3 linked regions of the Canis lupus familiaris genome follow. The protein of the gene in region 3 interacts with the protein of the main gene of each other region in a biochemical or structural test. Links are inferred from orthologs where the notes say so. Each region holds a gene or a part of one and is shown on either strand. Other genes may lie near its edges.

Region 1 (3,646 bases), on a different chromosome or scaffold from region 3:
TTCATCGGCTTTGGTATGGTCTGGCTCTTCAGAAGATGTAAAAGCAAACTATTATTAGCAGCTTGTTTTAGATGGTTTCTTTCCAGTGAGTTCTTATAGCCTGCATTTTTGGGGGAAGAAGGAACAACACCCATCGGGTTCTGAAACGCTGTATTTTTGCTCGCCATTAGCTTGCTCGATGATGTTCTCGCCTGACCATTGAGATGGCTTGACATTCCTTTTGAGAGCTGGAAACTGCCAACCTCCTTCTGGCCATTTTCTTGTAATCTGGCCATGGCGGCAAGTCTTTCACTTGCTGCCTGATTCGCATTTTGCGTTTTTAAAGCGTGTTCTCGAGAATACTGCTGCAAATGGGCTTCACTTGAAAGGAGTAACGCTAACTGGCTACAAGCAACACTAGGTTTGGGTGAAGTGGCTGGACTAGCCCTCTTTTCCACCATGCTTGCAACAGCCTGTAACCTGGCAGCACATGACAACGGTTCGCTCATGACTTTTGTTCCACTTTGTCCAACATGATGTGGTGACTCTACGAACCTGTCTCTGATGAGGTTTTTACTTACGTCAGGAAGATTGGTATCAGGCTTTTGATCTTTAGCTTTACTTTTCTTCAACAAAGTTTTTAAGTGACTTGATGCAACACCATAGCACCTTAAATCTTTCTCCACTTTTAAAGAATCATGACCGAGTGCATATCCTTGCTCCTTGAGGCTCTGCCTAATTTGTTGCGACAGAGCAACGGTCTGCAGCCTGGAGCTGAATGACTGAAGCAAAGAGGCCAGTAATGTGCTATCTTGTTTGCCTTTAGGCACATTGTCAACCATGCCAGCCAGCAAAGCTTCCTTCTTCACGTTTAAATTTACGATGGAATCAGACAGCCTCTTCCGCTTCGCGGCATTCCAGTCCTCAGAAGACTGCAAGAGCCTGGCTTTTTTGAGGTGCAGCATGCCAGATCCCTGATATGAATGTGTATTGAGAACTGGACCATTACTTTGACAGGCGGGAAATGCATTACCAGAAATGTTAAAGTTCTGATCTTCTTCATTATGCCCAGCAGACTTTTTGTCAACGGCAGTACCTGAGCCCTCTGCTGCCTGATGCATTAGTAATCCTTCTAGGTAAGTTAAAACAATAGAATCCTGGTGCACATCAGAGCCAAGCTCTTCTCCATGAGTCATGTTCAATAGAAGTGTTCACAAGGGCTTGGTTTCTATTCACGTTAAAGAATGGTTTTCTGTGGGTGAGTGAGATGTAATTTTAATAAGTGAGTGTCAGTTTATCACCTTCCATAGTCATCAGACAGAGATGCACGGTTACATTCCAACCAGGGTTCCCTGTGACAAGAGGAAAGGCAGGCAGATTCCAAAGTAGTTTGACCACAGAGCTGATCAACTCCACAAGAAGCAGCAGCAGAATTCCTTAATACACAGGTCTGCGGCGGCGGGCGGATAGAATCCTTAGTGAATACACTGCTTCTCCTTCTTCATCTTTTGTTTCCAATTAAATGCCAACAGCGGTGTTCTGAAAATAAAAATAAAAAAGTTAAGAAGAGGCATAACTAATATTATGTTACGATACCAAGAAGCAAAAGAATCTAGTATTTGTAAGTCTATATATGTGTGTGCGTATATGTATGTAAAACATAACGTACATACGTATATATGCATTATAGCCACCTCTTTAGTAACATAGTTTGCCATTCCTATTAAATTGGAAATCGCTACCGGAAGTCCTATAAATTAACCCATATTGTTAAAGTGATCAAATCAATTAAAGAAAATACTTTGGTGTTATATAACTGTCTTCCAAAGCACACCGAGTTTCTGAATTTTCGTGGAGATGGGAGGGAGGGAGAAGGGAGGTGAGGGATGAGGGCGGGAGGGAGGGAGGGGGAGGGAGGAGGGAGGGAGGGAGGGAGGGGATGGAGTGAGGGAGGATTGAGGATGGTGGATGAGAGGAGGGAGGGGAGAGAGAGATAAGGAAGAAAGAAAGAAAGGGGAGGCAGGATGGATGGAGGGATTGGAGTGAGGGAGAGGAGGGAGGGAGGGAGGGGATGGAGGAGGGAGGGAGAGGGAGGGAGGAGGGAGGGTAGGGTGAGAGGATGGGAGGTCTGATTGGAGGTAGTTAGTCTGGAGGGATGGATGGAGGGATGGGGAGGGGAGGGATGGAGGGAGGTAGGGAGTAGTGAGGAGGTAGAGGGAGGGAGGGAGTGAGAGCTCTCTCTCTCGCCTCCTTACCTTCCCTTTTATTCCTCTTTCTTTTTCTTTTCTTTCTTTCTTTCTTTTTTAGCTTCTTCTTTATTTCTTTATTTCTTCTTTTTTCTTCTCTTCCTTTCTTTATTCTCTTTCTTTTCTTTCTTTCTTTTTCTTTCTTCTTTCTTTTCTTCTTTATTTTTTCTTTCTTTCTTTCTTTCTTTTTTTTTTTTTTTGAGTTTCTGAATTTTCATGAGCACTTTCCACATAGTAACAATAAGGATGCTAAGTCTCTTTTATAGTGACATAGCTCTATATGGGAGCTAGAATTAGCTTTCTTACATTACTGGGAGCTTATGAAGGAAAAAGTAAAAGTGCAGAAAAAAAAAAGAGAGAGATGCACATGACATGGACTCATGTGATGAGCTAGATGCAGGGTTGAATACTACAGATTAGGTTCACTTCTGACATCGTTCTTGAAACATTACATATTCCATAAGTAATCCGTGGGATTTCTGTTTTTAAAGAAATGGAAGCACTGACAAGTATCTTGTAGGCCTATGCAAAGTGTGACAGTCTTAGTCATATTCATAAATACTGAAGTATAATCACAGGCTTCATTTTTATCATGACCTATTGGAAACAGAAGAGAGTGATTCTCTAGATGCTCATCAAGTCTATCAGAGGCTTAATGTATCCATTTTTAAATCTTCACTCATTTGCTGTATGTAGAACTTTTAATGTGTGGTCCATTCCTAACAGAAGCAGAAGACAGGTTACAGGTGAACCCGTAACTCTGTTTCTAAGGTGTTCCTCACAGAAAATACTCCTTTTCCCCACCCATGCTATTTCTTTTTGTGTGACTTCGCTATTATAAGTATAAATAAATTCAAATATTATACATGATTTGAAAAAGTTTTATAAGGTTTTAAAATAAAAATCATTAATTTAGAAAAATGTGTCAAGGTACTTGTACCAATTTCTTAGTTCAGAAAATGTGGTTTCTGGGACACTTGGGTGGCTCAGTAGGTTAAGTGCCTGTCTTTGGCTCAGGTCAGGATCCCAGCGTCCTGGGATCGAGCCCTGCATTGGGCTCCCTGCTCAGCGGGGAGCGTGCTTCTCCATCTCCCTTGCTTGTGCTCTCTTGCTTTCTGTCAAATAAATAAATAAAATCTTAAAAAAAAAATGTAGTTACTATAATATGTGTAAATGTAACTGTGTACACAATAGGTAATCACATCATCCTGTAGAAAAGTGGGCAGGAAATAAATTTAGGATAGATTTGAAGGGAAGATGAATAATTGCTTTCAGAAAATTCTAAGTCAATGTGGTTATTTTTCATTAATTTTTTTTTAAATTGTATAAACATCACCATTATGAAACAGGGAGGAAGACCTTCTAATAGAAACCTATTTTTTAATAAGATGAATCTGTAAATCAAAGAGTATTTCCTGAGA
Region 2 (3,746 bases), on a different chromosome or scaffold from region 3:
ACAAGTTCATTAGGAGAATGAAGAACAGAGATGGTGAAATGAACCCTATTTATTTATGAAATGTGCTGGCTAAAGTTTTATCTCAGCTAGTATTAGAGTAAGTTCACAAGGAGAGGGACGAAGAACATTCAAGTTAATAAGATTCAGGATAGGTAGTATTTTTAATTTATAGAAAATGACCCTCTTTTTTAACAGTGTATTTAAAGAATCATTTGTTAGAGACCATTACCTTCCAATTTATATGCTTTCTTGAACTCTTGCTGGTAATACAAACACCAAGATAAAATATATTTAGACTAGAATCGCATTGAACATTTTGAGAAATCTGGAACTTAAAACCTGTCTCAGAGTTTAGTTTCAGAGCATTTATTCCCCCTGTTCTCATTCATTCCGGTCTGAATATCATGGCCAGGCACACGATAAACCTTAATTCTAGAATTACGCAAAATTCAGATCCTGATTGGCTACTAGCCTATTTAACCAATTAAAATGCAAATAAAAGAGACCTTAGACTGTGTCTAAACATTAAGAACTAGGATTTGTTTCACCTGTACTGAATTTCCAACAGGTGGGCCACATGAGAGAAAACAAGAGTGAAAGATCAGAGACTTCAGCCTATTTGCAAGCTAGCTTACCATGGTAGAAGGCAGACTCATGGGTGAGAGACCAGGGACGTTTATTAGCTACTCACAATAATAACGTAGGCCAAAGCTAACATAAACCGAAGCATCGACATTTTTGCTCTCCTTCCCGGAACCCCAGTTCCCACCAGGCAAGGTCAAAGGGCCAGCTGACACCTGCACAGGCAATGGATTGTGTTACACCAGAGGAAACCTAAGCTTAGAGCACCCCAATCTTGTATCGTGGGTACTAAGCATGCCTGTCTTTAACTCCAGTGGACATCACACTGGACCACACGCACGCCTGCTCTTTGCTCTGGTGGAAGACACAATCTCTATCTTCCAAGGCTGATCCTTATACAAACATCTTTCAAAAACAGAAACAAAGGGCAGTCACAGTACCTCCCTGGCACGACCTGCAGAAACTGAGAGACCGCTGGAAAACTGGCTCCCTAGGCCAGATACTGTTCCAAACACAGAATCAAATGCAGAGTCTAACACTACTGTCTGTCTATAGCACCGATTTCATATACCCCTTAACATAGGCTCAATTACTTAATTAGCATTTTATCTCAAACTTAATCAACCAGACCCTCTGAAAGTATACATCAAAACGAATCATCAAAAAAAAAAAGAATCATTCCCTTTCTAATTACTTTCTATTTTTAAAAAGGAGGTAGGTGCTCCCGAATCCGCAAAGTCGCAATTTACAATCCTCATTCTCCTAGGATGCTTACTGCGCTTACTCTGACTCACTTTTTAAAGGTCTCAAACCTGTTAACGCTCGCAATGGGAACGACCTGTCGAAAGTCTCATTACCCAGTAACAAATGCACCACCAAAGAGAACAGCAACGTCCTCATTACCCAGCTGTCGTCTACAAAATACAAGAAAACCCTGCGGGCCGCCCGCCCCCCCCCCCCCAAAAAAAATCACTCCCTTCTATTTCTCTTTACCCTTTACCGTTGCGAAAGAAAACCTTCCAATGCAAACACACACACACACACAACCACATACCGTCTCTCTGGGTCCCTCCGTCCCGGCAGAAGGGAGAGAAATCGGGGAGACGCGTCAAAGAAGCCGAAACATACGTGCAGGACAGAAAACAGCATCCGGATCTGCCACGCGTCTCCCCGAAGAAAAGTCCCCGTCGCTTCGTCTTCACCCACCGCCCACCACCCCCGGCTCAAATGACGTGGGTCCGAACCGGGTGATGAGGGCCGCACCGACCGGGACAAAGCTCCGGGGGAGGCAGAGGGCAGAGCAGTGAGCCGGACGCAGCGGGCCAAGCAGCCGAGCGACGCGGCGCAGCCCGCTCCAGCCCAGGTTTCCAGAGTGCGGGGCGCGCTCCTCCAGCCCCGGAGGAGAACGCGGAGCCGCCGCCGCCAAGCCCTCGGCGCCCGGGGAAGTGGCTCGCGGGGCGCGCGGCCGCCGCCGCCGACGCGGACCCTCCTCCTCGCCCCTCCCCCGCCGCGCACCCCCGGCGGCGGCGACGTGACAGCGGGTCGCGCCGCACCCGGGCGCCCGCCTCCTGCCCCGGAGGGGGGCCGCTCCTCAGGCTCCTCGGGCGCCCCGGGCGCCCCGGGCTCCCCTCCCCCCCGCGCGCCCACCTCGGCCGCCTCTCACCTTGGGTGGCGAACGGCGAGGAGCCGCTGACCGGCGAGCCGGGGGCGGGGACGGGCGGCGGGGTCTCGGCCGAGCCCAGCATGGGCGCGGGCAGCATGAGGTAGCGCTGGGGCGCGGGCAGGCAGCGCTGGCAGAAGGAGTGCAGGCAGGGCAGCAGCTTGGGCGCCCGGCTCTGGATGTTCTGGTGGCACACGGCGCAAGTGTCCAACAGGTTGAGCCGGGCCGCCTCGCCTCCCCGCTCCGAGTCGGGGCCCTGCCGACTCTCGGCCTCGTTCTCCCCGCTCGGCGCCGCCAGGGGCCCCCCGGCGGCCGCCGCCGACGCCGCCGAAGCCGCCGCCGCCGTCGCCGCCTTCTCCACAGCCACCTCCATTGTCCTGCCCCCGCCGCCGCCGCCGCCGCCGAAGGGGGAGCACGGTCCCCGCCTGCCGCCGCCCCCGACGACCTCCTCCTCCGCCTCCTCCTCCGCCTCCTCCTCCTCCTCACAGGCCGTTAGGATGACCCGCGGGAGACGGAGGGCCGGAGGGCGGGCCGGGCCGAGGAAGCCTCCTCAGGCCCCGGGGATCCGCCTCCCGGGTGGCGCGGCCGGAAGAAGGGGATCTGTCAGCGGGAACCGTTCCTCGCACCGGGAAGGCTGCGCCCCGTCCGCTTCGCCAACCGCCTCGGCGCTCGTCGAAGGCGCCCAGCCCGCCCTCGCCTCCCCGCCTTTCTGTCCGGGCCCCCCCGCCCTACCCCGCCAGCGCCGGCCCACCTCAGCCTCAGGCCCCGCCCTCCCGCTCCCGGCAACTGAGGCCCCGGCGAGGAGCGCGCCGCCCAATCGCCGCCGCGCCTGGCCAGGGGGCGGGGCCTGCCCAAGCCCGCGAGGCTCCGCCGGCCGCGGCGGGAGGCTGGGAGGTGGGAAGGCGCTTGCCCAGCCCCGCCCCCGCCCCAGCCGCGGCCTCTGATTGGGCCTTGCTGTGCGTGGCGCTCCTCTAGGAAGATCAAGGGATCGTTTGTTAATGACGGACGGACTAATTGGGTCCGCCTGCGTTAGCCCCGCCCACGGGGGGCGGAGCTCCGCCGCCGGGCGCGCAGCGCGGCTAATTAAGTAACTTGCTTGCAGAAGTCTCGGTTTCCTGCTGAGGATCCGGGTCCCCGCAGGTGGGGTGAATACGGCGGGAGGGTCAAAGGATGACCAAGTGGATGGAGACTGTGAAGAGCGAGCAAGCGAGGAATTTTATAGGTGGAGAAACGTGTGGATGGGACGTCGTGGGGGCAGCGTGGGCTTGCCGCCTGAGTTCGCGCCTCGCTCCCGTGAGTGATGGGACCTGATGCGGAAGGACGGATGTTCTCTTGCGCCTTGGAAGTGTTTAAAGAATTCCACCACCACCCCCAGTGAAAAAAAAAGGTGAAATCGATTTCTAAGTCGGCGATTTGCTTTTTAAATGAGGAGAGATAGTTCTGTCTCCGAGACACTAATAGGTTAAGATTGTCAGAAAGTGTTCTTTATTGCATAAATAGGACA
Region 3 (3,646 bases):
GCTGCCCCAGACACAGAAGCCCAGCCAGGACTCCACATGGCTGGATCCACATGGGAGCACCAGGGAGGGAAACTGGACATCTCCCGTTCCGTGCTGGCCCACCCCAGGCTGGGCAGCTAGCGGGCCACCTGCCCTGTCTCCCGCTGCCCATTTGCATGCAGGCCCTTGGGTGCTTGCCCTAGGTAAACCGATGCAGGGCCACAGCAGTGAGGAGGGCTGGCCAGGGCTCCACATGGGAGGGAGCCACAGGCAGGACGGGCAGTCAGTGCTGTGGCTCCTGGTCACGTGCCAGGCACATCCCTGCCCTCCCGGGCCAGGCTTTCCATGGGCACAGCAGTCAGCCAGGGGCCCTGGGAGCCCCAAGGGACCCTGCATTGTGGGAACACAAAGGCTGAGCTGGGGTCCCCACTCACCACAGGCCTGGGCCACCAAGGCAAGGCTGTGAGGGTCAGGGTCACTCTTCCCCTCCCCAGCTCTAAGCAGAGGAGCCTCAGGCTGGGTTCACAGCCCCCAAAACAGCCCAGAATGACTCCTGGGGCCTCATTCTGCCCTGCCCGCACCCCTTCCCAGGGGACTCTGCGGCCCCCCACCTAAGGGGGACTGCTCCCCTGCTGTACCCCACCTCCCCTCTGGGGAGACCCATGGCACCAGCAGCCCCTCACTGGAGCCCGACAACGTGGTATGGCCAGGGTGGGGGCCTGTTCCCATTTCCCCTTTCAGATCCTTGGCATTTATTTCAGTTCCCGCCAGAGCCTACAGGACATACGAAAATAACCACCTGCCTCATCAATGCGCACCGGGGTCTCTGCCGTCTCTCGAGGCTCCTCTCTTCTGCACCCACCACCTCAGGAGGCCCTTCCTCCTGAGCCCACAGCAGGCCCTCCAACCCACGAGGGAGGCCATCACCCACAAACAGAGCTGCACACGAGGGCAGGTCCTCGGCCTCACCGGCCTCACACTGCCATCCAGGCAGGGGCAAACCCTGCGGTGTGCACTCCTTTCACGAGGGAAGCCTTGCTGGGCTGGTGAGGCCTGGACGCAGTGCTGCCCACAGCAGGCTAGGTGGGGCGAGTGGGCTCTGGGACGAGCTGGGGATGCTCCCGGGCCCTGTGCTGATGGAGCCCCCAGACCAGGAAGAGATGCGGGGCAGTGCGGGTACCAGCACCAGGGATCTGGCTCTGTCCAGCCAACACCCCCGGGCAAGGTCAAGTGGGACAGGTGTGGTGTCAACGGCCCTCCCTGGCCATGTGGACTTGAACAGGCAGCACGAGGCAGAGTGCCAGGCCTCCCCCAAGACAGCAGAAGTCTTGTTCCGGCAACCATGACTTCGCGGTTGTGGTTTTGGGGCAGGGGGTGGGGCATGCCCCCCTTTGAACTCCACCCACACTCTTGTGAATATGGGGAACCCTAGGTTTCCAAGACAAGCTGCTGAAGCCCAGAAGCTGCACTCCCTCCAGGAAGGAACTATGGGGCAGGGGGTTGTTCAGGGGAGACACCTACCCGGGAGGGGCAGCCAGAGGAGAGGCTGAGCATGGGGCCTCAGACTGGGGCAAAACTCATTGGGGGCCACCTGACAGATGGACACATGGACAGATGGGCGGCTGAGCGCAGGTCAGGACCATCTGGGACACACTGGGTTTGCACCCCCAGTTCTTGTCCTGACCCCCTCATCAGTTTCAAGGGGCCCAGGGCCCTCTGCACACACAACTTGGGCTCAACCAGCACCCACCAATTGCCAGGAACCTGGCTGTGTGCAGAGAAACACAGAGAATAGGATGGATGTAGTCCTGAAAACTCCTGACTCCCCAGTACCGCCTGCCCCTGCCCCCAGACAGAGAACAGTGCCAAAGGGCAAGTGCCCCCAAGGCTGGAAGGGTATCTCTGCCCTGCCCAGGCTACTGCTATACATGAGCCCTCAGGTCTACGAACAGGCAGCAGGCCTGAGACCAGCAAGGGGCCTGTGGGGCCAAGGGTCAGCAGACACTTGCTTCTGTCACAGTCCCCAGAGGGCAGGGGCACACTCAGTCTCCACCTGCCTCTGCACTCCCTGCATGGCGCTGTACAGCTGGTGAGAATGGGGGTGGGATGGCTGTGTTAAGAACAACCCAGCCAGGCCCAGGAAGACAGCCCAGCCTCCCCTCTGCCAGCACCTCAGGCCTCCTACTACTCTGGGGACCAGGTGACATGAGCAGGGCTCGGGAGCTCTGCACTGATGCCAGAGACCTTAGCTCTTTCACCCTCTCCCTCAACCACAAAGGGGTGACAAGGTCACTCTGGAAAAGCCAGCAAGGTTCTCCCCCAAGGCCAGCTCTAGAGGCCCGGCCAGACGGGCAGCACACTGGCCCCTGCTCAGTGGTATCCCAGTCCTCCTGCACCAGAGCACAGTGGGCTGCCCCGCAGGTGGTGCAGCAGCAGAGGACTCGGACGGCCCTAGGATGAGGCTGACATGGTTAGATGTGTCGCTCTGGGCAGGGAAGCCTGCATTTCAAGTCTCTCCCAGCAGGCTGTCCTGAGGCTCCGTGGAGACATGCACCCAAGGGGCCTTCACATTCTGGGGGAGGAACTCAGAGCTGGAGAGGAGCCCTGCGGATTTCAGGAAGGACAGCTCAACCCCAGAGAGGAAGGTCCCCCTGGGATTCAGGCAGGAAATCCACCAGGAACCACAGGGAGCTGGGGGGTGGGGGCAGCTGCAGGGATCTCCCAGGGATCTCCAGAAAAGTTCAGGACAATGCTGCAAGGGTTTGGACAAGAAGCATAGGAGAGGGTGGACCAGGCCTCCAGAATCCCATCACAAGAACTGGACCAAGCCAGGCCCTGCCAGATACCAGATGCTTCCTGATTCAGAGACAACCCTGAAAGCCAAATTGTTCCAAACACATGACTACGGAAAAGACCACCAAGCCCAACAGATGAGCCGAGGCCACCATGGGGCCGAGAGCCTGGCCCAAGGAGGGGTGCATCTGCATGGAGCCTGGACATAACCCGCCCTAGGATCTGGGCCCCAGGGCACTGAGACCTCCTGATGAGGGTGTGAGCAGAGGGAAAGGCGGTGAAGGGGCACAGGCTCCAGGAGGCAGGTTTAAACCTGAGAAACACTGAGCCCCGCTCTACAGAGCAGGGGGTCACGGGAGCAGGGGGCCCCCCACAGGAGGGGTCCCACTAGGGTAGATGACCAGCTGCAGGGAACTTGGCCGATAACTGAGAGTCGAGCACTGGGGAGTCAGCCAGACCTGGGCTCAAGTTCAGGCTAAAGCCACCTCTCCGAGGTTCTGGTTCCCAGAGACAAAAGGTGGAAAGGACAGCACCTATCCCCCCCACCCGCAGGGCCCACAGGAAGGGCCTTGCCTCTGCACTTACCTGGGGGCTGCCGGTGCCGAAGCCCAGGGTGGGCGTGGTAGGCACCGACATGGAGTGGGGGCCCATGGGGGAGCTGATGACCGAGAAGGGTGGGCCCATGCCGTTGATGGGGGAGCTCAGCGTGCTGATGGGCGAGTGCAGCTGTCCCGGGGAGCCAAGCGAGGAGCCGATGCCAGGCCCCAGAGAGGGGTGCAGCGAGGGGGCGGCCATGGAGCCACGCCCCGTGGGGGAGTTGAGGGATGAGGAGTTCACCTGGGTGGAGAAGTCTGCAAGACAAGAACCAGAGGAT

What was found.
Region 1: the proteins of RXRA (region 3) and NRIP1 form a complex in vitro, tested with the Homo sapiens proteins (2 studies listed by BioGRID). The link is inferred for Canis lupus familiaris from reciprocal best matches to the Homo sapiens genes RXRA and NRIP1.
Region 2: the proteins of RXRA (region 3) and TRIM24 form a complex in vitro, tested with the Homo sapiens proteins (3 studies listed by BioGRID). The link is inferred for Canis lupus familiaris from reciprocal best matches to the Homo sapiens genes RXRA and TRIM24.

What each region holds. Positions count from the first base shown.
Region 1 is NC_049252.1:12,290,334-12,293,979, forward strand, and holds part of NRIP1 (nuclear receptor-interacting protein 1), read right to left. Parts: intron 1,519-3,646; 5' UTR 1,176-1,518; coding exon 1-1,175. UniProt on the Homo sapiens protein: Modulates transcriptional activation by steroid receptors such as NR3C1, NR3C2 and ESR1. Also modulates transcriptional repression by nuclear hormone receptors.
Region 2 is NC_049237.1:9,918,934-9,922,679, forward strand, and holds the start of TRIM24 (transcription intermediary factor 1-alpha), read right to left. Parts: upstream 2,616-3,746; coding exon 2,246-2,615; intron 1-2,245. UniProt on the Homo sapiens protein: Transcriptional coactivator that interacts with numerous nuclear receptors and coactivators and modulates the transcription of target genes.
Region 3 is NC_049230.1:50,607,524-50,611,169, reverse strand, and holds part of RXRA (retinoic acid receptor RXR-alpha), read right to left. Parts: intron 3,624-3,646; coding exon 3,358-3,623; intron 1-3,357. UniProt on the Homo sapiens protein: Receptor for retinoic acid that acts as a transcription factor.